Linked DNA regions of Ovis aries. The protein of the gene in region 1 binds, or shares a complex with, the protein of each later gene. Links are inferred from orthologs where the notes say so. Each region holds a gene or a part of one and is shown in the gene's direction. Other genes may lie near its edges. The genes, in order: ACTL7A and TES.

The links.
Region 2: the proteins of ACTL7A (region 1) and TES are in contact, whole or in part, in a crystal structure (PDB 2XQN), measured with the Homo sapiens proteins. The link is inferred for Ovis aries from reciprocal best matches to the Homo sapiens genes ACTL7A and TES. Residues at the interface, in NP_006678.1 of Homo sapiens: Leu28, Gln29, Thr30, Ala31, Ser32, Leu33, Arg34, Asp35, Gly36, Pro37, Ala38, Lys39, Arg40, Ala41, Val42, Trp43, Val44, Arg45, His46; in NP_056456.1 of Homo sapiens: Asn311, Glu312, Tyr313, Thr314, Gln315, Ala316, Glu317, Leu323, Phe326, Leu335, Ala336, Gly337, Glu338, Ile339, Tyr340, Val341, Tyr353, Pro370, Glu371, Val372, Gln373, Arg374, Val375, Thr376, Tyr377, Ala384, Phe389, Leu398, Ile399, Gly400.

The regions. Positions count from the first base shown.
Region 1 is NC_056055.1:14,401,962-14,412,963, reverse strand, and holds ACTL7A (actin-like protein 7A), read left to right. Parts: upstream 1-3,984; 5' UTR 3,985-4,039; coding exon 4,040-5,356; 3' UTR 5,357-5,475; downstream 5,476-11,002. Other genes in the region: ACTL7B (actin-like protein 7B), read right to left, coding at 359-1,612. UniProt on the Homo sapiens protein: Essential for normal spermatogenesis and male fertility. Required for normal sperm head morphology, acroplaxome formation, acrosome attachment, and acrosome granule stability.
Region 2 is NC_056057.1:53,710,820-53,722,823, reverse strand, and holds the start of TES (testin), read left to right. Parts: upstream 1-6,511; 5' UTR 6,512-6,691; coding exon 6,692-6,718; intron 6,719-12,004. UniProt on the Homo sapiens protein: Scaffold protein that may play a role in cell adhesion, cell spreading and in the reorganization of the actin cytoskeleton. Plays a role in the regulation of cell proliferation. May act as a tumor suppressor. Inhibits tumor cell growth.

The DNA.
Region 1 (11,002 bases):
TCCCCCCTTGGTCTATGGGTGAGCAAGCAATATGAGTGTTGGTTGGATTGGGCTTTGAACCCTGAACAGCTAATGGAACAAGAAGCCACATTCTGGGCTCTATGATGATGTCATCCTCAGGAACAGGGCAGAAGGGGAGGGGCCGGTGAGCCTCCCCTCGTGCCTGCTTCTCCCAACCCAACAGATACAGACTGAAAGCCCAAATCCCCCTCCCCACCTTCTGCTATCAGCCTAGAGCAAGAAATCCAGACCAGACAGGAGCCACTGCACTGTAAAATTTTATGTGAAATTCTGAAAATGTGTATAGAGTGGCCTGTGGCTGCCTGCCCCCAGACCTGGCTGGTGGGGACCCTGCTGCTCAGCACTTGCTGTAGATGGCCGCACTGCCCCGCTCCTCAAACTCTTCCTTGCTGACCCAGAGCTGCTGGAAGGCCTGCAGGGAGGCCAGGATGGAGCCGCCGGTCCACACGGAGGTCTTCCTCTCGGGAGCCGCGGCCACTGCAGGGCTGTCTCCGGGGCAGAGGAGGCTCAGCTCCCTCTGGAAGCGCTCGGGGAAGCCATCCAGCATGGTGCAGCCGCCGCACAGCAGCACGTTGGCAGCCATCTCCTCCTTGAAGCCCGCCTCCTGGCAGCGGTTCAGGCAGGCAGCGGTGAGTGCGGGGAGGCCGGGCTGGTTGCTGCCTACCAGGGTGGGCTTGAAGAGCATCTCGGCGCACTGGAAGCGCTCCTGGCCGATGGTGATGAGCTTGCCATCTGGGAGCTCGTAGTCCACGCGCAGATCCTCCAGGCACAGGCCGAGCTCCTCCTCGGGCTTGAGGGCCGAGTAGCAGCACTTCTTCTTGATGTGCTCGATGATGTGCAGGTGGTCGTCAGTGAACTTGTGGCCGGCCTCGTTGAGCAGCTGCAGCAGGTAGTTGGTGAGGTCGCTGCCCGCGTAATCAGCTCGACTGCTCAGGCCGGGCAGCACGTCGCCCTCAGAGATGGGCACCACATGTGAGACACCATGCCCACTCTCCACCACCAGCCCAGAGGTCTTGCCATAGGAGTAGATGGACAGCAGTGACTGGGATGTCACGTGCATGGCAGGGATGCCGAAGGTCTCGAACAGCAGCTCTGCATACTTCTCCCGGTTGCTCGTGGGGCTGAGCGGGGTGTCAGAGACCAGCACAGCGTGCTCCTCGGGGAGGATCTTCATGGCCGTGTGGAAGATGTACTCCCAGATGCTCTGGATGCAGTCCCAGTCCACCACGATGCCATATTTGAGCGGGTTGATCAGCTTCAGAGGCGCCTCCATGTTGAGCAGCTCATGGCCCACGTAGGTATCCTTGCGGGTGTCACCGGAATCGGCCGCCTCTGAGTAGCGCTTGCCCACCGTGGAAGAGATGAAGTAGGTGGGCCTCGGTTCACCTGCGTAGCCACACTTACAGTACTGGGAGCCCAGGTCAATGATAAGCGCCTTGATCTTGCGCACCTTCTTGGGCTTCATCTTCAGCGGAGTGGCCGAACTTTTGTCCAGGATGCCAGCATCAGGACCTGGCAGTGTGCCTGCCTCTCCTGGGTCCCCCTGGGCCGTGCCCATCGGCTTGGGGCTAGGGCTGTTCCTTGTCGCCATCTGCCTTCCTTGCTCACCTGTCTCACATCCACATCCTAGAGCTCCCTGGGGAGAAATGAGGGTCTGTTTCTAGCAGTGACTTGGCAACCCCTTGGAATTGTGATGTCACATGGGCTGGTCCATTCTGGCAGTTGTAGCGGGGGGGCTTGGTCTGGGCAGGCCCTTGATCTATCCTCCCCCCCAACCCCATTGGCCTAACTCAACTTTGCTTCAGGACAGAACAGGTGGCCAGCACAGTTTTAGAAATCCAAGCACACTTGCATCTCAGAGGTTTCTGCTCTTTCTCACCTTATATCCTTATTCCTAATCCCCCATCCACTAGCTGATCACCTCTTGCTTCTCAGCTTGATGAAAGGGTGATAAGGTAGGCTGCAGTCCATGGGGTCGCTAAGAGTCGAACACGACTGAACGACTTCACTTTCACTTTTCACTTTCATGCACTGGAGAAGGAAATGGCAACCCACTCCAGTGTTCTTGCCTGGAGAATCCCAGGGATGGGGGAACCTGGTGGGCTGCTGAGAGGTCGCACAGAGTCGGACACGACTGAAGTGACTTAGCAGCAGCAGTGAGCCAAAGGCTCCCCCGGGTGATGCTAGTGGTAAAGAACCCACTACTGGATGTAGTGCCAATGCAGATGTATGCGACACAGGTTCAACCCCTGGGTCAGGAAGATACCCTGGAGGAGGGCATGGCAACCCACTCCGGTATTCTTGCCTGGAGAATCCCATGGACAGAGGAGCCTGGCAGGCTACGGTCCATAGGGTTGCAAAGAGTTGAACGTGACTGAAGCGACTTAGCACAGCACACACACAGCCCGGTGAGCCAAGCACTGTAGCAGGCATCTCACATGACACTTCACAGAATCCTGGGAGATAGGCAGAGCTGAGGAAATCAAGGTTCAGAATGCAAATGACTTGCCCTAGAGCAAACAGCTCTTGGAGCGTGCTATAACCCAAGTTCCTCCAACTTCAGTGTACCAGGTCTCCTTAAAGCATTTGAGAGCTCTAATGATAGCAACCCGGCCACAAGCAGTGCCCAATCTAGTCGGGAAGATGAATGGATGCAGAGGAGTTTGCAGGTGGACGTCTGTTAGGAGGACACAGGAGCACAGAGGGAGGGAGTCAGAAGGTTCTGCAGAGAGGGGGTGCCCACATCGAGTACTGAAAGGTAAGTGGGTGCCTGTTCGGTAGCTTAGAGGAGGGACAGGCATCCCAGGCAGGGAGCGTAGCCTGAGCAGAGGCTCTGAGGGAAGCATGGTGCAGTTTCCAATAGTTAGTGTTTGGAAAAATAGATGAGGATAAGGTCGTGGAGGCAACTAGGTGCGTGTGCTCGGTCATGTTCCACTTTCTGCAACCCTCTGGACTGTAGCTCGCCAGGCTCCTTTGTCCAAGGGATTTTTCAGGCAAGGATACTGGAGTGAATCGCTGTTTGCTACTCCAGGGGATCTTCCTGGTCCAGGGATCGAACCCACATCTCTGGAGGCTCCTGTATTACAGGTAGCTTCTTTACCCGCTGAGCCATCAGGGGTTGGGGGGACCTCAAATGCTAGAGGTAAGGGCTTGGATTTAACTGATGACACGAAGGGCTAAGGACGGCAAGCATGGGCAATGGGGGAGGAGCTTGTAAAACCGAGCATGCCAGGCTTTGAGTGTCTTACAGGTCAAGTGGCACAGGATGAATAATGACCTGCCCACCCCCCCGCAAGATGTCCTCATCTGAATCCCTGGAATCTGTGAATATATTACCTTTTGTAAGTGCTTGGCAGAGTTGCCATAGCAGCAACTGGTCCTAAGTCAGATGGTATCATGTCTTTGCTCAAAATTCTCTAGTGCTTTCTGACCTCATGCAGAGTTAGAGCCAAAGTCCTAGCAATGGCCTGTGAAGAGAGAATCTGCCTGCAATGCAAGAGATCCAGGTTCAATCTCTGAACATCTTTAGAGGAAATGCAACCAACTCCAGTATTCTTGCCTGTAGAATTCCATGGGCAGAGGAGCCTGAAGGGCTACAATCCACAGGGTCCAAAGAGTTGGACATGACTGAGTGACTAACCACCCCCCCATATATTTATTTTGGTTATTGTCTGTCTCTCCCCCAACCCCCACTGACTAGAATATAAGTTCTCTGAGGGCAGAGATTTTTGTCCTTTTGTTCCCCTCACTGCTGCCTGCCTTGCACATAGCGAGGCAAGAATACTGATTGGATAAGCCAGGTTTATTACAAAATTTAGAAAAAAGGAAATCACTTCAAAAACTCTATCTCAAATATACCCTAACACAAGACAAAGGTTCCCAGTAACTAGAAAGCCCTGGGACACTCGATTATGTCATAATCAGTGATGTCACCACTGGAGAAATTCTCAAGTTGCCCTCTTATTTCAGTCTTTCAGGCCTTGAGGCCGGTGGGATTGAGGAACTTTCTGAGAGCAAGATGGCTCTTGAGAGCATGTGGGCACCACAGGCAGCAGTCATAGGGGATGGGCCGTCCGAGAGAGTAGGTGAGCAGGGCTCCCCACACACACAGGTCCTCCAGACCGCCTCCTTGAAGGATGGCCCAGCCAAGCGGGCAGTGTGGGTGCGCCGGAACCATTCAGAGCCAGAAACTACAACATCACCTGAGGTCAAGAAGCCCAAGCTAGAGCTGACCAAAGCCGTGGTCGTGGACCTTGGCACAGGCTACTGTAAATGTGGCTTTGCCGGGCTGCCAAAGCCCACCCACAGGATCTCAACCACAGTGGGCAAACCCTACATGGAGACTGCCAAAACTGGCGACAATCGCAAGGAGACATTCGTGGGGCACGAGCTTATCAACCCAGAGGTTCGTCTCAAGCTGGTTAACCCTCTGCGACACGGCATTATTGTGGACTGGGATACAGTGCAGGATATCTGGGAATATCTCTTCCATCAAGAAATGAAGATTGCCCCAGAGGAGCACGCGGTCTTGGTTTCAGATCCACCCCTGAGCCCACACACCAACAGGGAGAAGTATGCCGAGATGCTGTTTGAGACCTTCAGAACACCCGCGATGCACATCGCCTACCAGTCCCGCCTGTCCATGTACTCCTACGGCAGGACCTCCGGCCTGGTGGTGGAGGTCGGCCACGGCGTGTCCTACGTAGTCCCCATCTACGAGGGCTACCCTCTGCCCAGCATCACCGGACGGCTGGACTATGCGGGCTCTGACCTGACAACCTACTTGATGGGCCTGATGAACACTGCAGGGAAACACTTCACCGAGGGCCAGCTGGACATCGTGGAGGACATCAAGAAGAAATGCTGCTTTGTGGCCCTGGACCCCATTGAAGAGAAGAAAGTCCCAGCTACTCAGCATATGATCCAGTACACCCTGCCAGATGGGCAGGCAATCTGCCTGTGCCAGGAAAGGTTCCTCTGCTCGGAGATGTTCTTTAAGCCTTCTCTGATTAAGTCCATGCAGCTAGGCCTCCACACCCAGACGGTGTCCTGCCTCAACAAGTGTGACATCGCCCTCAAACGAGACCTCATGGGGAACATCCTGCTCTGCGGGGGGAGCACTATGCTCAGAGGGTTCCCTAACCGTCTGCAGAAGGAACTGAGCGGCATGTGTCCCAATGACACCCCCCAGGTAAGCGTGCTGCCTGAGAGAGACACGGCAGTGTGGACTGGGGGCTCCATCCTGGCGTCGCTTCAGGGCTTCCAACCGCTGTGGGTCCACCGCTCTGAGTACGAGGAACATGGACCTTTCTTCCTCTACAGAAGGTGCTTCTGAACTCCAAGGCAGTATGGTCGCTGTGACATGCATCGGCTTTGCTGGGTGAGCACCCATCTCACACACAGGGAACAGAGTCAGCCCGTTCACTTCTGTAGTAGTAAACAATCCTCATGTTTCCTTCCACAGTGTGTTTCTCTTTCCTTATGCACTGAGAACTTCATGCATGAAGCATCTGCCTTAGAATATGCATTTGCCCAAACAATGGTGGGGGCTGGACGAAGGAGAGGGGCAGTGGGGGTAGGGGTGGGGGGAGGGAAGGAAGGGGGAATGATTATGGACCAGAAAGACATGCATTATGTTGATTGCTGAAGTATTTGGGGGAGAAACTATCTCTACAATTACTCATCTGTCCCTTATTTTGTATATCCCCCACATAAGGTACTATAGTATTGCTAAACTCTGGGAGTGCGATAGATTTAAGAGTAAATGCTGTCATGGCATGTAAGAATATCCCTTTCAATAAACAGCAACAGGAAGTACACGGTAATGGTTCAATCTCCCACAAAGGAGCAGGGCACCTTTCACACTTGATCAGCATCTCTGAAGGCTCAGAAGAGCTGATGAAGATATCTGACAACCTGCTTTGATTGCACTTTCTTTTAGTCCCAGTAGTCACTTATGATGTCTCAATATCAGTTCTTACCAAGCCATCACGGTGACTAGCTGCTGAAACCCATGCGTTATGAGCAAAGTATGTGTTATCTTAAGGGAAAAACTCTTCAGGGAATAGGTGCTATACAGATTTCCCCCTTTAAAAACTGGGGGAAGATTTATCTTGGTTTATCAGCACTAAGGTCATGAGGATGCAACCCACAGGCAATCTCCAGACACTTCAAACAGCAGCTGCTCATCTCCGACAGGACTGGATTCTCCATCAACCTGCAGGGTATACAGAGTTTGGAATGGGCTCAGGATAAAGGCTGCCGGTTTGCAGTGGATGCTGTGGGTTTGTGGGAGGTTGTTCCATTCTGGTCACTCTAACCCAACTGAGGAACCGAAGGAACATAAAGACGCTCATGGCCTGGAAGCCCTTCCAGGGCCCAGCATGGTAGGGGGTATTCCTGCAGGCAGTTTGTAAGTAGCTCACCGGACTCCTCTGTCCATGGGATTTGCCAGGGAAGTGAGTTGCTATGTCCTTCTCCAGATCTTCCTGACCCAGGGATCAAACCCATGACTCCAGCATTGGCAGATAGATTTTTTACCACTGAGCTACCAGGAAGCCTGTGACCTGAGTCTATTCACCTGTAAAATTGAATTCAAACGCCTACCTCACACAGCTGATTATACATATGAGATATAAAACAACAAAAATAAAGTTTAGCTTTGAAGAAACTATCAGAGATAAACATTTGAAAACTAGTGTGTGGCCTCCAGGAGGTGATCCTAAGAGTTGTTAGATATGTAGGTTTCTTCCGCTTAAATACAGAAGCCCAAATGCCTTACTAGGATCCTGAGCCACACATACACCCAAAGGCGCACACATTCAAGCACGCATAGGAGAGCTATGGCATCTCTACCAGGCTCAGGGAGAAACCCTACAGAGCCATCCTTATAACCTCCAGGTTTGCCTTACAGACAGCCTTGAAAGACACAAATGCCTCACGCTGGAGGCCTGGTGAGTAAGCACAGATGGCTGGCACCAGCAAGCTAGAGGAAAGAAGCAAAAATAGCCACAGAAGGGCTTAGTCAGCAAGGATAAGCCTTACCCTGGAGGATCAGGGCATCAGATAGGAGTTGGGTACACTGACTTGAGAGAGGTCTGCCTTGTTTACCTGTTTCTGCCCAAACCACTACTGTCAACACTCGAAGAACATTCATTGATGGGAAGGTTGAAGTCTGGTTAATTCTTAACCTTTGAACCTCTTTGACAGAGTGGTTAAAGCCTATGGACCCCTCAGAATAATATTCTTTAAACACATCAAATAAAATACATAGGATTATAGAAATACACTATCTCCAGATTCCTAAGGGTCTATGAACCCCCCAATCAAGAACCCCCAAAAGGTGAAGAGGGTCTTGATGAAGTGGAGGCAATGGGAGATGATTCTAGAGAATGGGAACTCCTAGGCCATCCTAGGAATAAATGCCATACTGCCATTTTAAAATGAAAAATGCCAATATAAGGCTGAACAACTGTATAATCTCTTTTCAAAGCACTTTTATGAATTCTCTCACTGGTTCCATATTAGTAGCCCTTGCAGAAAAAAAGCATCTTCCTCATACAGAAAAAAAGATGAAAAGTTTTTAGTAAATATTTGAAGCCATCTTAGCCCATTGGCTCCCAACTGGAACAGTTTTGACTACCGAGAGACATTTGGTAATGTCAAAAAAGCAAGAGAGTTCCAGAAAAAACATCTATTTCTGCTTTATTGACTATGCCAAAGCCTTTGACTGTGTGGATCACAATAAACTGTGGAAAATTCTGAAAGAGATGGGAATACCGGACCACCTGACCTGCCTCTTGGGAAACCTATATGCAGGTCAGGAAGCAACAGGTAGAACTGGACATGGAACAACAGACTGGTTCCAAATAGGAAAAGGAGTACGTCAAGGCTGTATATTGTCACCCTGCTTATTTAACTTCTATGCAGAGCACATCATGAGAAAGGTTGAGCTGGAAGAAGCACAAGCTGGAATCAAAGATTGCTGGGAGAAATATCAATAACCTCAGATATGCAGATGACACCACCCTTATGGCAGAAAGTGAAGAGGAACTCAAAAGCCTCTTGATGAAAGTGAAAGAGGAGAGTGAAAAAGTTGGCTTAAAGCTCAACATTCAGAAAATGAAGATCATGGCATCCGGTCCCATCACTTCATGGCAAATAGATGAGGAAATAGTGGAAACAGTGTCAGACTTTAATTTTTTGGGCTCCAAAATCACTGCAGATGGTGATTGCAGCCATGAAATTAAAAGACACTCCTTGGAAGGAAAGTTATGACCAACCTAGATAGTATATTGAAAAGCAGAGACATTACTTTGCCAACAAAGGTCCGTCTAGTCAAGGCTATAGTTTTTCCAGTGGTCATGTATGGATGTGAGAGTTGGACTATAAAGAAAGCTGAGCGCCGAAGAATCAATGCTTTTGAACTGTGGTGTTGGAGAAGACTCTTGAAAGTCCCTTGGACTGCAAGGAGATCCAACCAGGCCATCCTAAAGGAGATCAATCCTGGGTGTTCATTGGAAGGACTGATGCTAAAGCTGAAACTCCAATACTCTGGCCACCTGATGCAAAGAGCTGACTCACTGGAAAAGACCCTGATGCTGGGAGGGATTGGGGGCAGAAGGGGATGACAGAGGATGTGATAGCTGGATGGCATCACTGACTCAATGGACATGAGTTTGAGTGAACTCCGAGAGTTGGTGATGGACAGGGAGGCCTGGCGTGCTGTGATTCATGAGGTCGCAGAGTCGGACACAACTGAGCAACTGAACTGAGCTGAGAGATATTTGTGGTTATCGTAAGAGGAGGAGGGGGTATGTCATACTGACACCTGATGGGTAGTTCAGTTCAGTTGCTCAGTTGTGTCTGAATCTTTGCCACTCCATGAACTGCATCACACCAGGCCTCTCTGTCCATCACCAACTCCTGGAGTTCACCCAAACCCATGTCCATTGAGTTGGTGATGCCATCCAACCATCTCATCCTCTGTCGTCCCCTTCTCCTCCTGCCCTCAATCTTTCCCAGAATCAGGGTCCTTTCAAATGAGTCAGCTCTTCGCATCAGGTGGCCAAAGTATTGGAGTTTCAGCTTCAGCATCAGTCCTTCCAATGAACACCCAGGACTGATTTCCTTTAGGATGGCCTGGTTGGATCTCCTTGCAGTCCATGGGACTCTCAAGTCTTCTCCAACACCACAGTTCAAAAGCACTGATTCTTCTGTGCTCAGCTTTCTTTATAGTCCAACTCTCACATCCATACATAACCACTGGAAAAACTATAGCCTTGACTAGACGGACCTTTGTTGGCAAAGTAATGTCTCAGCTTTTTAATATGCTGTCTAGGTTGGTCATAACTTTCCTTCCAAGGAGTAAGCGTCTTTTAATTTCATGGCTGCAATCACCATCTGCAGTGATTTTGGAACCCAGAAAAATAAAGTCAGCCACTGTTTCCCCATCTTTTTGCCATGAATGGATGGGACCAGATGCCATGATCTTAGAGGCCGGGGCTATTGCTCAATATTCTGTAATGTACAGGGTAGCCCCCTACAACACAGCATGATATAATCCAAAATATCAACAGTGCTCTTGAGAGTCCCTTGGACAGACAGCACAATCAAGTCAGTCAATCCTAAAGGAAATCAACCCTGAATACCCACTGGAAAGACTGATGCTGGAGCTGAAGCTCCAATACTTGGCCACCTGACGCAAAGAGCTAACTCACTGGTAAAGACCCTGATGCTGGGAAAGATTGAGGGCAGGATGAGAAGTGGGCCACAGAGGGTAAGAGGGCTGGATGGCATCAACTAAATGGACATGAGTTTGAGCAAACTCTGGGAGATAGTGAAGGACAGGGAAACCTGGCATGCCGCAGTCCATGGGGTCACAAAGAGTTGGACATGACTTGGTGACTGAACAACAAATCAACAATGCTGAGAAACCCTGGTTAGCCCAGTGGACACACAGGCCGCAGAAAAGACTCAGTGAGTTAAATGACTGTGTCCAAAGACACTAAGATGAGTGACCATGACTTTGTTCTTTCCAAATATCAGGACATCTGTTGGTCTTGAAGTTCCTGGGACTTCAAAGCCAGTAAGAGTACTGGAGGAAGAGCAGGCATGAAGCACAGGTAAGGGCTGAGGGAGCACAGAGAGCGCAGGAATTGAGAGCAGGCCTTCAGGGCTGCAAGCATCATCGCCTTAACTGTGGCTCGTGTACAAATCTCAGACATTTAGGGTGACCTAGTTCCTAAAATGGTCATCCTCCCCCAGTTACTATGTGACCGACAAGGAAGGGCAACCAAAGGCTCCCAAGGACTTGTCCAAGTAGTGCTTCTAGTGAAGCACAGAAGATTACAGGCAGCCACAGGAGGAGGAAGAAAGCTAATTTTGCTTTCCAAACTTGCGTGTATGAAAGTCGCTCAGTTGTGTCCAACTCTGAGACCCCCGTGGACATACAGTCCCAGGCCAGAACACTGGAGTGGGCAGACTTTCCCTTCTCCAGGGAATCTTCCCAACCCAGGGATCAAACCCAGGACTCTCACATTGCAGGCGGATTCTTTACCAGCTGAGGCACAAGGGAAGCCCAAGAATACTGGAGTGGGTAGCCTATCCCTTCTCCAGCAGATCTTCCAGACCCAGGAATCGCACCAGTCTCCTGCATTGCAGATGGATTCTTTACCAACTGAGTTATCAGGGAAGCCCTTCCAAACTTATAGTCACCTGCAATTACTAAGAACTGTCAGTTTTATTTACTTCTAAAAACATCCTTTTCAATTAGAGAGAATCCCTCAGATGTATGCACATGTGTGTATATACACACATAAATGTACGTGTGTGTATATGTAGGTATATATGGAAAATAAATTTATTTTAAAATATGCAGCACTAAGAAATTATACCAAGCTCTACTGATAAGAACATAAGCTCCTGCCCCAGCTTTTTTTAAGAGTCTAAATTAAAATGCACTTTGATTACAGGAGACAAT
Region 2 (12,004 bases), on another chromosome or scaffold:
CTCAATCAATGCCTTTTTAGAATTCATTTTAAGGAACAATGGATAAGGAAGTGTTTTCCAGAAGTAATAATCCAGTGCCTCTAAAGTAGAAGACAAAGGAACTAACGCCACTGACGGTAAATTTAGTGCTTATATTCTCAATTCTGCAAGATATATTGTTGAGTGTGGAAGAAAGGCCACTGATTGCTTCTGCTTTTTCCTAGTAACAGTTTTACTGTGACTATGTTGCTTTTGTTCTCCCACTGTAATGGGTTATATTATGTCCCCTCCCCCCCAAAAAAAATTCATATCCACCCAGAACCTCAGAATATAACCTTATTTGGAAATAGAGTTTTTAATAGACATAATTAGTTAAGATGAAGTCATATCAGATGTGCATGTTAAGTTGCTTCAGTTGTGGCCAACTTTTTGCCATCTTATGGACTATAGCCCACCAGGCTCCTCTGCTTATGGGATTTTCCAGGAAAGAATACTGGAGTGAGTTGCCATGCCCTCCTCCAGGGGGATTTTCCTGACCCAGGGATCAAACCCACGTCTCTTAAGCCTCCTGCATTGGCAGGTGGGTTCTTACCACTAGTGCCACCTGGGAAACCCCATACCTCATTAGGGTTGGCCTTAAATCCAACGACTGGTGTCTTCATGAGAGAGAGGTGAGAGATTTAAACAGAGGTACAGAGAAAACAGCCAAGTGAAGATTCTTCAGGAAGGGCTCATGAGAACTGTATTTCCTAAATTCTATGTTTATGAAAGTCTTCGCCCTTTAACTTGGAAGTTACTTCATATAAAATCCTTGGTTTACATTGTCTTTCTTGAATAGCTTAAAATGTTACTCTATCCTCTTCTGATCTAGAGAATTGCTAAAGCAAAAGTGCAATGTTAATACAATTGTCTTCCCCTTTTAAGTCACATCCCTTCCTAAAGCTGAATACCCAAAGGATTTTCTTTCCTATTCTTCAAAGTCCAGTAACTTTACTAGATATGTCTTGTGTTGGTTATTTTGAGTCAATATATTCTCAGGTAAGCAATATGATCTTTCAATATCTAGTTCCATATCATTTTTTTAATTTCAGAAAGTTTTCTTGAGTCACCATTTTTCAGTGTTTGTTCCTTTGGTTTCCATCTTCAGAGACTTATATCATCCACGTACTTGATCTCATCATCTTTTTAATATTTGCTACTTTCTCTGGAATACTTTATATTTGTCATTACTTTTTAAAATTTTTATTTATTTTTAATTGAAGGATACTTGCTTTACAATATTGTTTTGGTTTTTCCCACACATCAGCATGAATCAGCCATAGGTAAACATATGTCATTACTTTTCAATTTTTTAGAAAGAAGAATTTTTACTATCCATTGTTTGTAGGCATTATTAGTTTTTTGCCATAGTATTCTTTTTAGTTTAGCCTTCATCTATGTAATATTATTTTCTTCATTTCTAATTCTTTCCTGAATTCTATTACCTCAGTTATGAGTTTTTCTAATTCTAATTTGTGTGATCCTTTTATGACATGCATTAACTTTTTGATGTCTTTAATTTGTTTTCAAATAATACACTTTTGCTCTGTTTTGTGGACACATCTTTCTGATGTACTGTAGGGAAGTTATTCTGCTCTGTTTGCTCTCTTTTCTCATGTGTGTACTGGATTTGACCTTAATAAATTACTGTTACCCATTATTATGTGACAATAATTTTCCTAAACTTATACAGTGATGCAGAGTTTAGAAAATTGTGTCCAACTTCAGAGAGCTCCCTTGTTTTTATGAAGCGCTAACAAATACAACAAGATTTTGGAGATTTCCTGACTCCATTTCCTTTTCTGGCTGTTGAGCACTTGAAATATGGCTAGTATGACTGAGAAGTCAAATTTTAAGTTTTAATGGATTTTAGTTAACCTAATTAATTAAATTTTAAATAACTACATGTGGTTACTGGCTACTACATTGGAGAGAGCTCCTCTAGCCTTTCACTTTCCACTGTCTCTTCTGCCCCAACCTACTTATTCTGATTTCCCTTGACAAAGTTTCTTATTGTGGGACCCTCTCCTAGAAAGAAGTCCTAGTGGGTGAGTCATGAGATATCACAGGGTGAGATTAATTCAGCCCCTTCAGTCACATTTCACTGTTTCCACTGCTGTTTGAAATTTGGCCTGCAGTGTTTTAAAATGGATATCTGGAGGAGAACATCTTGAATTTTCCTGGTGTCCATCAGACACCAACTTATTGCTTCTCTCCCTCCCCGACAGAATTTTTTATACATGCATGTCTTGTGGCTCTTGTTGGCTTGTCCTTATCTGTCATGTTTTTGGATTTATGGAGATACCTTGCCAGTTTTATTATGAAGGCTGTCCATGGCTTTTGGTTTTGCTAACCAGTTGATCAGTTTTTTGTTTTAATGTAGATTTTTCAGGCAGATTGAAAAATTATACTGCCACTGCCCCACCTTCCTAAAATGCTTTGAATAATATATTTTTAGATAAGGTTTTTCCATTAAGAAATATGCCATGATCATGGAATATTTTTTAAAGGAAAGAAGGAATCCCCATGGACCTATCAATCAGAGACAAACCACTGCTAACATTTTATGAATTTTCCTCATGTTTCTTCTCTGTGCATGATATTTTTGCACAGTTGTGAGCATAATCTATATACCATTCTATTTTCTATTTTGTTCCTATAACATTATGATTGTTTACTGTTAGAAAAAATTAATATAAACTTTTCATGTGAATCATTCATTATTTCCCTAGCCAAACACCAGTGTTTGGTCAACTAAAAAAATTTTTTACAGGTAATAATTTGCTCTGAAAAAATGTTTGTCTCCCCATAGAACAATGTGTAATCCATACAATCTGCTAATGAGCAATAATAGCTAAGTCAGTAGCATAGGAGTTCCTCTAACTGGTGTTAATAAATTATGAACATTTGCTAAAGAGGCCACCTGGGGCTACATTAATAATTGAGGAGACAGGTACAGTCATCTTTATCTTGGAAATTTACCTTACCTGGTGTAGAAAACTTTCCTATTGGTGTTTTCTTTTCCTAATGTTTTGGTATGTTGAGTGTGTGTGTGTTTATATGTACATGTGTATATGTAGATGTTTGTGCCTGTGTATTTATAACCAGTCATCTGCATCTCCATCCCAGATGTCTCTTTTGACTGCCAAACTCAGATCCAATCAGCCTTGCAAAATCATTACATGCAAGTGAAACTCATCTTAAGGTGGGAAAGGAGAGATTTACAGCCACCGTACAAATCACCAAATTAGATTCCTAAGAGTGACTCTTAGGAATGCTCATCCCTCCTCCCTTCGAGTCAATCACTCAATTCCAACATTTTCTACTGCCTTAAAATCATTGGTTATTCCTTTAACTCTCTATGTTGCTGCCTCAGTTTGTCCCATAGCCTATTTGACATGGGATACAGCTTTTACTCCCCAAGTTTACTTTCTGTTAAATTCAATGAGAATTTGACCCTTTTCTATAGCTGGACATTGTTGATGAATTCCTTCTTGAATTTCTTCTCTTAAGAGGTTGTTGGGAACTCTAATTTTTTTTTTTTTTTTTACTAACTAACCTTTATTTCCGTTCTGTGCTTTTCTTGCTCAACTGTGCTCAATTGAGGTCATTGATATTCTCTCTTATTTTGTTATATTCCATGCTGATCTTTTCCATCCATGGCTTTCAATTATTTATCTATGTAAGATATTGACACTTAAATCACCATTCCACTCCAGTTCTCATCTCTAAGATTAATATGTGGATACTTCAGTATCCCAGCCTCAAATCTAATGACTGTACCCTTTGTCCTCATCCCACTCCCAGGAAAACACAACTAAACACAACCTATATTTTCCTTTTTCCAGAACCACCTACAAAAATGAGCAAGCCAGCAACATGTGTATTATCTTCTACTCATTTTTCTGTCATCAATTACATCTTGTCATCGAACAATGCCAGTTCTAATTCCTTAGTATCTCTTTAGCATAACACTTGAACAGCTAATAAGAAATTGGAGTCTAATCCTCCTAAACTAAAACTTATCTACCTCAATGTTAATTTGTATATAATTGGCACAGTAATGTTTCCAGGTAGATAAAAATTTCAATTAGCAAATGATACACAAAGTGATGCTAGAAGGTTTGGGAGGAAAGAGAGAGAGAAGGGCAAAATACAATGCTAAAAAATGTTTCCAGATATTTTCTCTAGTGTTTGTCTCTCAAATTTCACAAAATAAGCCCAAAATTTATGTTACAACATCATTTGATTCCTTATTTAAACTGTTTCACTGGACATTTTCCATCTGTTAAGCTCCCTGAAAGAGACCAAATTGCCTTGTCATAACTAAACCTCATGTTCATTGGAGTTTACATTGGGTAAACTTTGCAGGAGCCCAAACATTGTAGCATGGTTTGGGAAAATGGCTTGGAAAAGTTTTAATTAAACTGAGTGAGAAGAAAAATTCATGACCATCTTGGTCATTTCATTTTTAGTTTATTAATAGAATAAGAAAAACATCACATCATAAATCAGTGCTCTGTTTGTTACTGAACTGAATTTGGGTCTGCTCATCCAATATGAGACAAAGCTAAGCTACTGACACCAGGTTGTGGTGAAGCAAACTGTAGTGTTTATTGTGAAGGCATCAAGCAAGGAGGACAAGCAACTAAAGCTCAAAACACTAAAACTCCCCAGTGGTTTTTACGGGAGGATTTTTAAAGGCAGCATTTGGGGTATGGGTTGTAGGGTGCCTGACCAGCTTGTGCACAATTCTCTGACTTGTCGGTGATGAAGTAACAGCACACAATTTCAGGAATCCCAATCATCAACCTTCTTAATTCCAACCAGTCTGGGGCCTACATGTTGGTGGTTCATCTGGTTGGAGTGGGGCCTGGTTTCTATAAAACCAGTACAAGGATATGGCTCAGGATACTATCTATAGCACTGAAGGAAGAAGCTAAAGGCCCTTGGCTTTACTTTACAGCCAAACTATTATTATTTAGTTTCATTTGACTGTTTTCCTTTGTTTTTGCAATTTCTCATTTAACTGATTAAATTTGCTTTTGGGAACTTGGGAAAAGCGTAGGAAGTTAATGTTCTTCTGCAAACAAAAGGCAGGGGACACCAGGGGTCTGTCCAGGGGAAGATCCTAAGGGTTGAAAACGTTAGCTAAAATGATTTTGGGTTTTTTAAGTTATCATATTTCAAAAGGTAAAGGGGAGAGAGGGCTTCCCTTGTAGCTCAGTTGGTAAAGAATCTGCCTGCAGTGCAGAAAACCTGGGTTCGATTCCTGGGTCAAGAAGATCCTCTGGAGAAAGAAATGGCAACCCCCTCCAGTATTCTTGCCTGGAGAATCCCATGGACAGAGGAGCCTGGCAGGCTACATACAGTCCATGGGGTTGCAAGAATCAGGCATGACAGAGAGACTAAACCACCACCACCACCACCACCACCACCAAAGGGGAGAGAAATGTGGACCTAAATAGCTATATGATTTGGGACTTTTTCCCTTTTAAAAGTAGATGCAGATTAGGTGGTCACTTGCTATCTAATCATTATAATTTTCTATCATTACCATGAACAGAGGAAAAAAAGTCAAAAGGTTGTTTTTTTCCATCTGGAACAAGCTGAAGACACTGCTTAAAGACTCATGAGCTTTAGCTCTGTCCCCAAGAGACTAATAAATTGGGCAGGTCCCTATACTTCTGGGGTCCTCAGTTCCCTGCAAAATGAGAAAGTTATACTCAATAATCCCTAGATTTCCTTTCAGGTCCACCAAGGCAATAGTATTCATTGCCATTGCTCCTGAACGAGGCCATAATATGGATCCAAATCTAGAGCTGCAGCGCTGCTTGTTATGCCTATGATACTGCTTCATCTAAGCATGAGGCACATGAGCAGCCTCACATCATTTCACACAACAGGGGCAAAGGACAAGCCTCTCCTTCCAAAGGAATGGTGTAAGTTATCCCTTTACTGGTTCACACTATCCTCATTTTTGAACTATCAAATGCTCAGAAAACCCATATAACCCTCTTCATTGGCTGTCTGAGATAAGGTTTCCAGCCAGTGCTTGGGATATTGGAGAAAAGTATTTAGCCAAGTGCCTTTTCCACAACTCAACAGTGAAATTATAGAGTGCATTTCCATCACGAAGATCCCTAACAATCCCCACAACTTCTCTTTTTCTTCGCTCTGAATTCATATTTAAAGTCCCAAGGAAAACAGGTTCAAGCTGACTGAATGGAAAAGGCTCTTCCTCATTTCAGCTGGAGGCAGCTTGGGCTCCAATTCTTTGGGAGCAGGTAGTCAGGACGCCCAGCGGAGCCTCAGAGATCAACTCCGGGCTACAGGATTGAGCTCCGCAGGGTACCGCCCCGAACGCGGCCCCGCCCCTCACCTTGCTGGCGCCGCGCTCGGCAGCGAAGGTGCGTGCGGCGCTCAGTGATTGGCGGCTGCCTGGAGGGGCCCGGCTGCCATTGGCTGCTTGGGCCTCTTTGTTCCCGGTCCCCGCCGCAGGCCGGCTGCAGCCGACTGGGCAGCGGAAGTTTGACCGTGCCGGGCAAGTGGCTGCGGCGGTGGCGCCGGTGTCCCGGTACATCTCCTCCAGTACCGGCAACGGTGCCAGACGCCCGGCGATCCTGGGCGTGATATCCCCGACAGGAGGAGAAACCCCCTCTGACACATAGACATGGACCTGGAGGCCAAAGTAAAGAAGGTAGGGTGGCTGGCAGCAGCCGCTTCACCTGCGCGGGGCGCCGCCCCCTGGCTGCCAGTGGCTGGTGGGGCGCAAGGGCCGTCAGGCACGAGCGGTGTCGGGATCGCCGGCGCCCGGGGCCCCAGTACCCGGTCCTTCGGGTAGAGGGGGTGTCCGCTGGCCCTACTAACTCCTGAAACCCAGGAGCGACTGAGAGTCGCGCGCGAGGGCGGGCGCGGGACATTTCTCCCTGTCTAACCAAGTCCAACGGTTGGAGGTGTTTGAAACTTTTCCTTAAGATGTTTTGGCAGGGCTTGTGCCTCCCAAGAAGAAAAGGATGAGCTTAGGGCGAGTTCGGGCGAAACCGTGACACTACTTCTTCCTGTCTCAGGAAGCTGAACTTTATTAAGCCTTTGTGGTTTGGGGTGACTGATGAGACTTTTGACAGCTCAGACCTCCTCCCTTCCCAGCTTGGCAGTCAAGAGGCTGTCTAGAGTGAGCGTTGATTTAATGTGCTTCCTTCGCAGCAGCGGCTGGTGATGGCGTGAAAGGTGAACTTTTTTTTTTTTTTTTTTTTGGTCTCTGGTCATTCATTACTTGACTTCCAAAGCACTGCCTTCGTCTTCCAAAGAAAATGTTCTCCTTCTTTGGCAACTAGTCCCAAAGGACGATTGTCAGCGGTGGTTTAGCTCCAGGAGACGTTTCCTGACTGGCTGCCCTCCGGGCGTCAGGACCCACGGCCCTACCTGAGCCGCTCCGTGATATTAGGAGACTCGCGTTTCCTGGGAGAAAAGGGTGGGACTAGACTGTGACTCAGAGGGAATGCTGATGTCACATTCCAGTGTAACGTTCTGTGTGAAAGGTCGTCTCATTCCAGGGAATTGATTAAGCTACTTGCTCCTTGGAGAAGGAAATGTTGCTCCTTATCAAATAAAGAAGGAAGTTCTGCTGAGAGTAAAGGAGGGGAAAGTAGAGAACCTAATTTTCTTCTCTTGCTCATTGTGGGTTATCAACATTGCCATTACTTTATCTTCTAAAGACAAGGTTTCTAACCTAAGCATTAGTTCTGTTTCATGCCCAGAGTTGGATTTTTGAAAATATATGCAAGTGCAAAATATTAGGTTAGGTTAGGAGGCTGTTGAAAAATAAAAAGCCTGCAGTGGGGAAAAAAAAAAAACATGTTTGCCCTTTGTGACTAGACTCAGCTTCCAAAAGGGAATTCATGAACAGGAAAACGTATTCTGAGAGTACAGTGATTGAATTCTATTGTCTTCTAGTTTGGTTTCTTATTCTTTTCTTTGCTTTTAGATGACACTTCACTTTCACTTTTCGCTCTCATGCATTGGAGAAGGAAATGGCAACCATTCCGGTGTTCTTGCCTGGAGAATCCCAGGGACAGAAGAGCCTGGTAGGCTGCCATCTCTGGGGTCGCACAGAGTCGGACACGACTGAAGCGACTTAGCAGCAGCAGCAGCAGCACATTTTTTGTTAATCTTGCTTGCTACTAGGAAAGCATTTTGTTTGCCCCTTAATTAGCCATCTGTTGATGAACGCTGCTTATTTTGTTTTTCATGTGGGAAACAGTGGGTAATTTAGTACTTGTCTAAAAATTTTTTGGGGGGATCTTGTCTATGCTTAAACATAGTGCTTCAGAAAAGACGTTTTAAATGCCCAGATCCTTTGGGAGAGAGGGATGAATGGGTGAAACCATTCTGTAAGCTACTGTAATTGTGAATACCTGTCATTATATATTTGTCAAAACCCACAGAATAAACACCAAGAGTGGACCCTAAAATAAACTGTGGACTTTGGGGGATGATGATGTGCCAGTGAAAGTTCATCAGTTATAGCAAATGTACCACTTTGATGTGGGATATTGATAATGGGGGTGGGGGTTGGTCTGAAAAGGGATAGGAGATATATGGGAATGCTGTATCTTCTGCTAAATTTTGCTGTGAACCTGACTGCTCCGGAAAAACAAAACAAAACAAAAATCCCCTCTATTTAAAAGGAGGGGAAAAAAAAAACAAGTAGCATTCAAAAGTGATTTTGAAATTATTTGAGACAAGAAGTAGTTCTGAGGGAGAAAGTCCAGAGTTAAGAATTATATGTGCTAGCAAGGGAAAAATCCAGACATTATTTATACAGTTTCCTTAGTTTCAGAATGTGGATTATCATAAATAATGGTCTTGATATATGGTGTAATTTTTCTCCTGCATCTTCCCTTTACTTTAAAAGGTTATCTTTTCAACCGAGAATCTTATCCTTCTCTCTCATCTTCCTCCTCCCCTCCCGCCGCCCCAAGAAAAAGGATTCCATAAATTTAAAACTTGTACAGACAATACCATGACAGTAACAAATCCTTGTTTCACTACCTTGTCATCACTGGTGATTCTCAGGGCAAAGTCCTCAACTAGTAAATTGGAAAGTAAAAGATCCCAAAGATGTCCAGTCTGATTGCCAACATACCTTCTCTGTGTCTAGGTAGGATCCTTGACAGATTAATGTTCTGTGCATTTGACAGAGTGTTTCCCAGTACAAAGAATTTAGAGGTCCCAGAAATACATTTCATAATTTCAAAAAGAAACTTGCATTCCCTTTAGAAATTGTTTTCTAACACATGAGAAGAAGGAAACATTACAAGATCATCTTTGATCTTATGAGCCTTCTTACCCTATTTTGGTATCTAGATACTTTTCAGGTCTCCCTTCTTTTTCACTTGGATATACAAGAAAACTGATAGTTTTACTATACCTTTTAAAAATCATAGCTGAAAGTTGAAATAAAGACACAGCCATTTAACTAAAACTAAATTTAACTTCTGTTTTAAGATGCATGGCATTTTTTTTCCTTTTAAAACCTTTTTACTGTTGTTTTCATAAGAAATATTCTCTAGGCAGATGACAAATGTTACTTTCCCATTAACATTTCATGTAAAAAGAATTAGAGGGTTATCTTTATTTCACATCCACCTAGGTGGATAATGTTATTATAAGATTTTTTGTTTTTAAGAGGAGAACTTGGGTGTCTATCATGGGCATAAATTTGGATTAATTACCAGTTAAAATACACCATCAGAAAGGCAAGGAATTTTTATAACTAGATTTTACTATATTGTATTTTGTTTGAGATAAGTGAGCTGTTGCTAGGAAGTAAGAGCTAGTTTGGTTATACAGAGTTTTGTTTTAATATTTTAGAGTAGAATTTGAGTTTTACATCTTCGCTCTTTCTTTGGAGTTTCTTGTCTAGATCTCTTCCTTATGTCTTGTGTTTCTTCATTATAATTAACTTCATGTAAGTAGAGCCTGTGTCTGCTTGGAAAACACAATGACCTTTGAGAAACAGAAACAGAGTCTCATTTTGTGATGAATGCTAAATCATGGCCCACAGCCAGCTATTTTCCTCTTTCCTTTCTGTGTTACTCTCCCCTGAGAAACACTTTTTTCCCTTTAAAAACATACCAGAGAGAAAGAGAACTATAGTAATTTCCCTTATGCTGCCTGGAATTGCTATAGAACTTTTAATTTTACACCTTATTCATTGTTTGCCTCCTTTCTAACCTCCATCTTTTGATCCTTCCTGATGTCTTGCGTATTTTTTCTGTAAGATCCTTTTCTTTGTTTCTTTCATTTTAAAAAGATGAGATTTTAAAGATTACACAGTCACTAAAACATCTCCTTTCTCAGCATCCAAACATGTTCTGAAAGCTTCTGTCATTTGCTGAAAAATCAGAGTGACACCGTGTGATTGCAGTTGGCAAGATAACTGCACCACGAAGACTGTCTCCGTTAGAAATTAGAATGAACCTTTTCTCTTAGGGTGGCCCCTGACTGAAGTGGAAAAGGCAAGTAAACGGTGACCTGGAGGTTCAGCTCTACAGTTGAATTCTCTGCTTGAAGCCGTTCTTGCTGAGAATCATTGGCAAGACTTAGGGTAATGAGAGGGCTTCCAGGGCTTTACCTTAGAGGCAGTTACTCTCTCAGAACAAGTACAGAATAAAGTGTTCCTCAGCAGGGCTTTTATCTCTTTTAAGCCATAGTGTGAGTCATTACATTAATTAGACATGAAAAGTCGCTTTTTCTAACTTGCTTTGAATATTGGTTTGAATAGAACGGTAGTAGATTTTCTGTTGATTTGTTCCTTAATCCTATCCTATGAAGTTGAATTAGGGGTTTATGTCTCTACTGGCTATCAAGCTGTGTACCATCACCTCTCTCCTTGACTTTGCTAGCTCACCTTCAATAATACTAAATATTACTAATCCAAGACACACTCCTCACCCTACTTGCCCCCCCTTTCCCCCCAACACACACATCACCCTCCAGGTAATCATTCTTCTTGTTACCAGCTAGATGGAAAATCTCTTTCTTCTATATTCCCAAAGCATGTTATTATAACTCTTAGCAAACTTTTTACTTTCTCCCTCTACATTATAGTCTTTCTCTTACTTGGATTGCAAGCTTCTTGAGGGAAATTCATATCCTATTTATACTTGTATAGTTATTTTGTTTTCTGTTCAAAGCAATTTATGAAGCAGACTAGCTTCATTTTAAGGATAAGAAAATTAAGGCTTAGATAGGTTGATCTGAAACTGGCAGAAAGTAACTATGATCTTGCACCATAGTCTTCATAATCCATGTGACTTCCATCACATCACCTAGCCTGAGTCCTCTGATACCCTTGCTCTGATCACTGCATATATGTTGAATGAAGTTCCCTAATAGAAAAAACCTAACATGCATTTCAACATTTTTATTTGTTTAAAGGAATTATATTGGGGAAATGGTTTCTATTCCAATAAAATTACTACTCTACTGGTTTTCTATAGTTTATACTTTACCCATGATCCGTATGCCTTTAGGGTAAGTTGCCTTTGACATTTTTTGCATGGAAACAAAGTCTAAATAAGTACAAATATCATGAAAAGTAACTTCTAGGAGATTTTACAGTCAAAGAAATTCCATAAGCTCCAATAATATTCTGAACTGTATCTTCTAGGTTTTGTTGGGAGCAGTGATAATGCTGCCTTCTAGCTACCTAATATGGTTCTGAACAATAGCAACCCTGCTTTTGGCTCTTTGTCTTTCAACTAGTGACATCTGGAATTGTATACAGGTACTCATGGTTGGCCTGTAGAAGAATCTGTTCTACCTGCTGAACCCCAGAGTTGATAGTAAGCCTTACACGTAACATGGTAGGCTAAACCTCTTTTTCTCCTAGCAACAAAATACTCTAAGTGCTGCTGGAATGGCAGATCAGAATAGAGCAGTTAAAAACAAAAAGTTCAGTGTTAGCAGAATTGTTCAT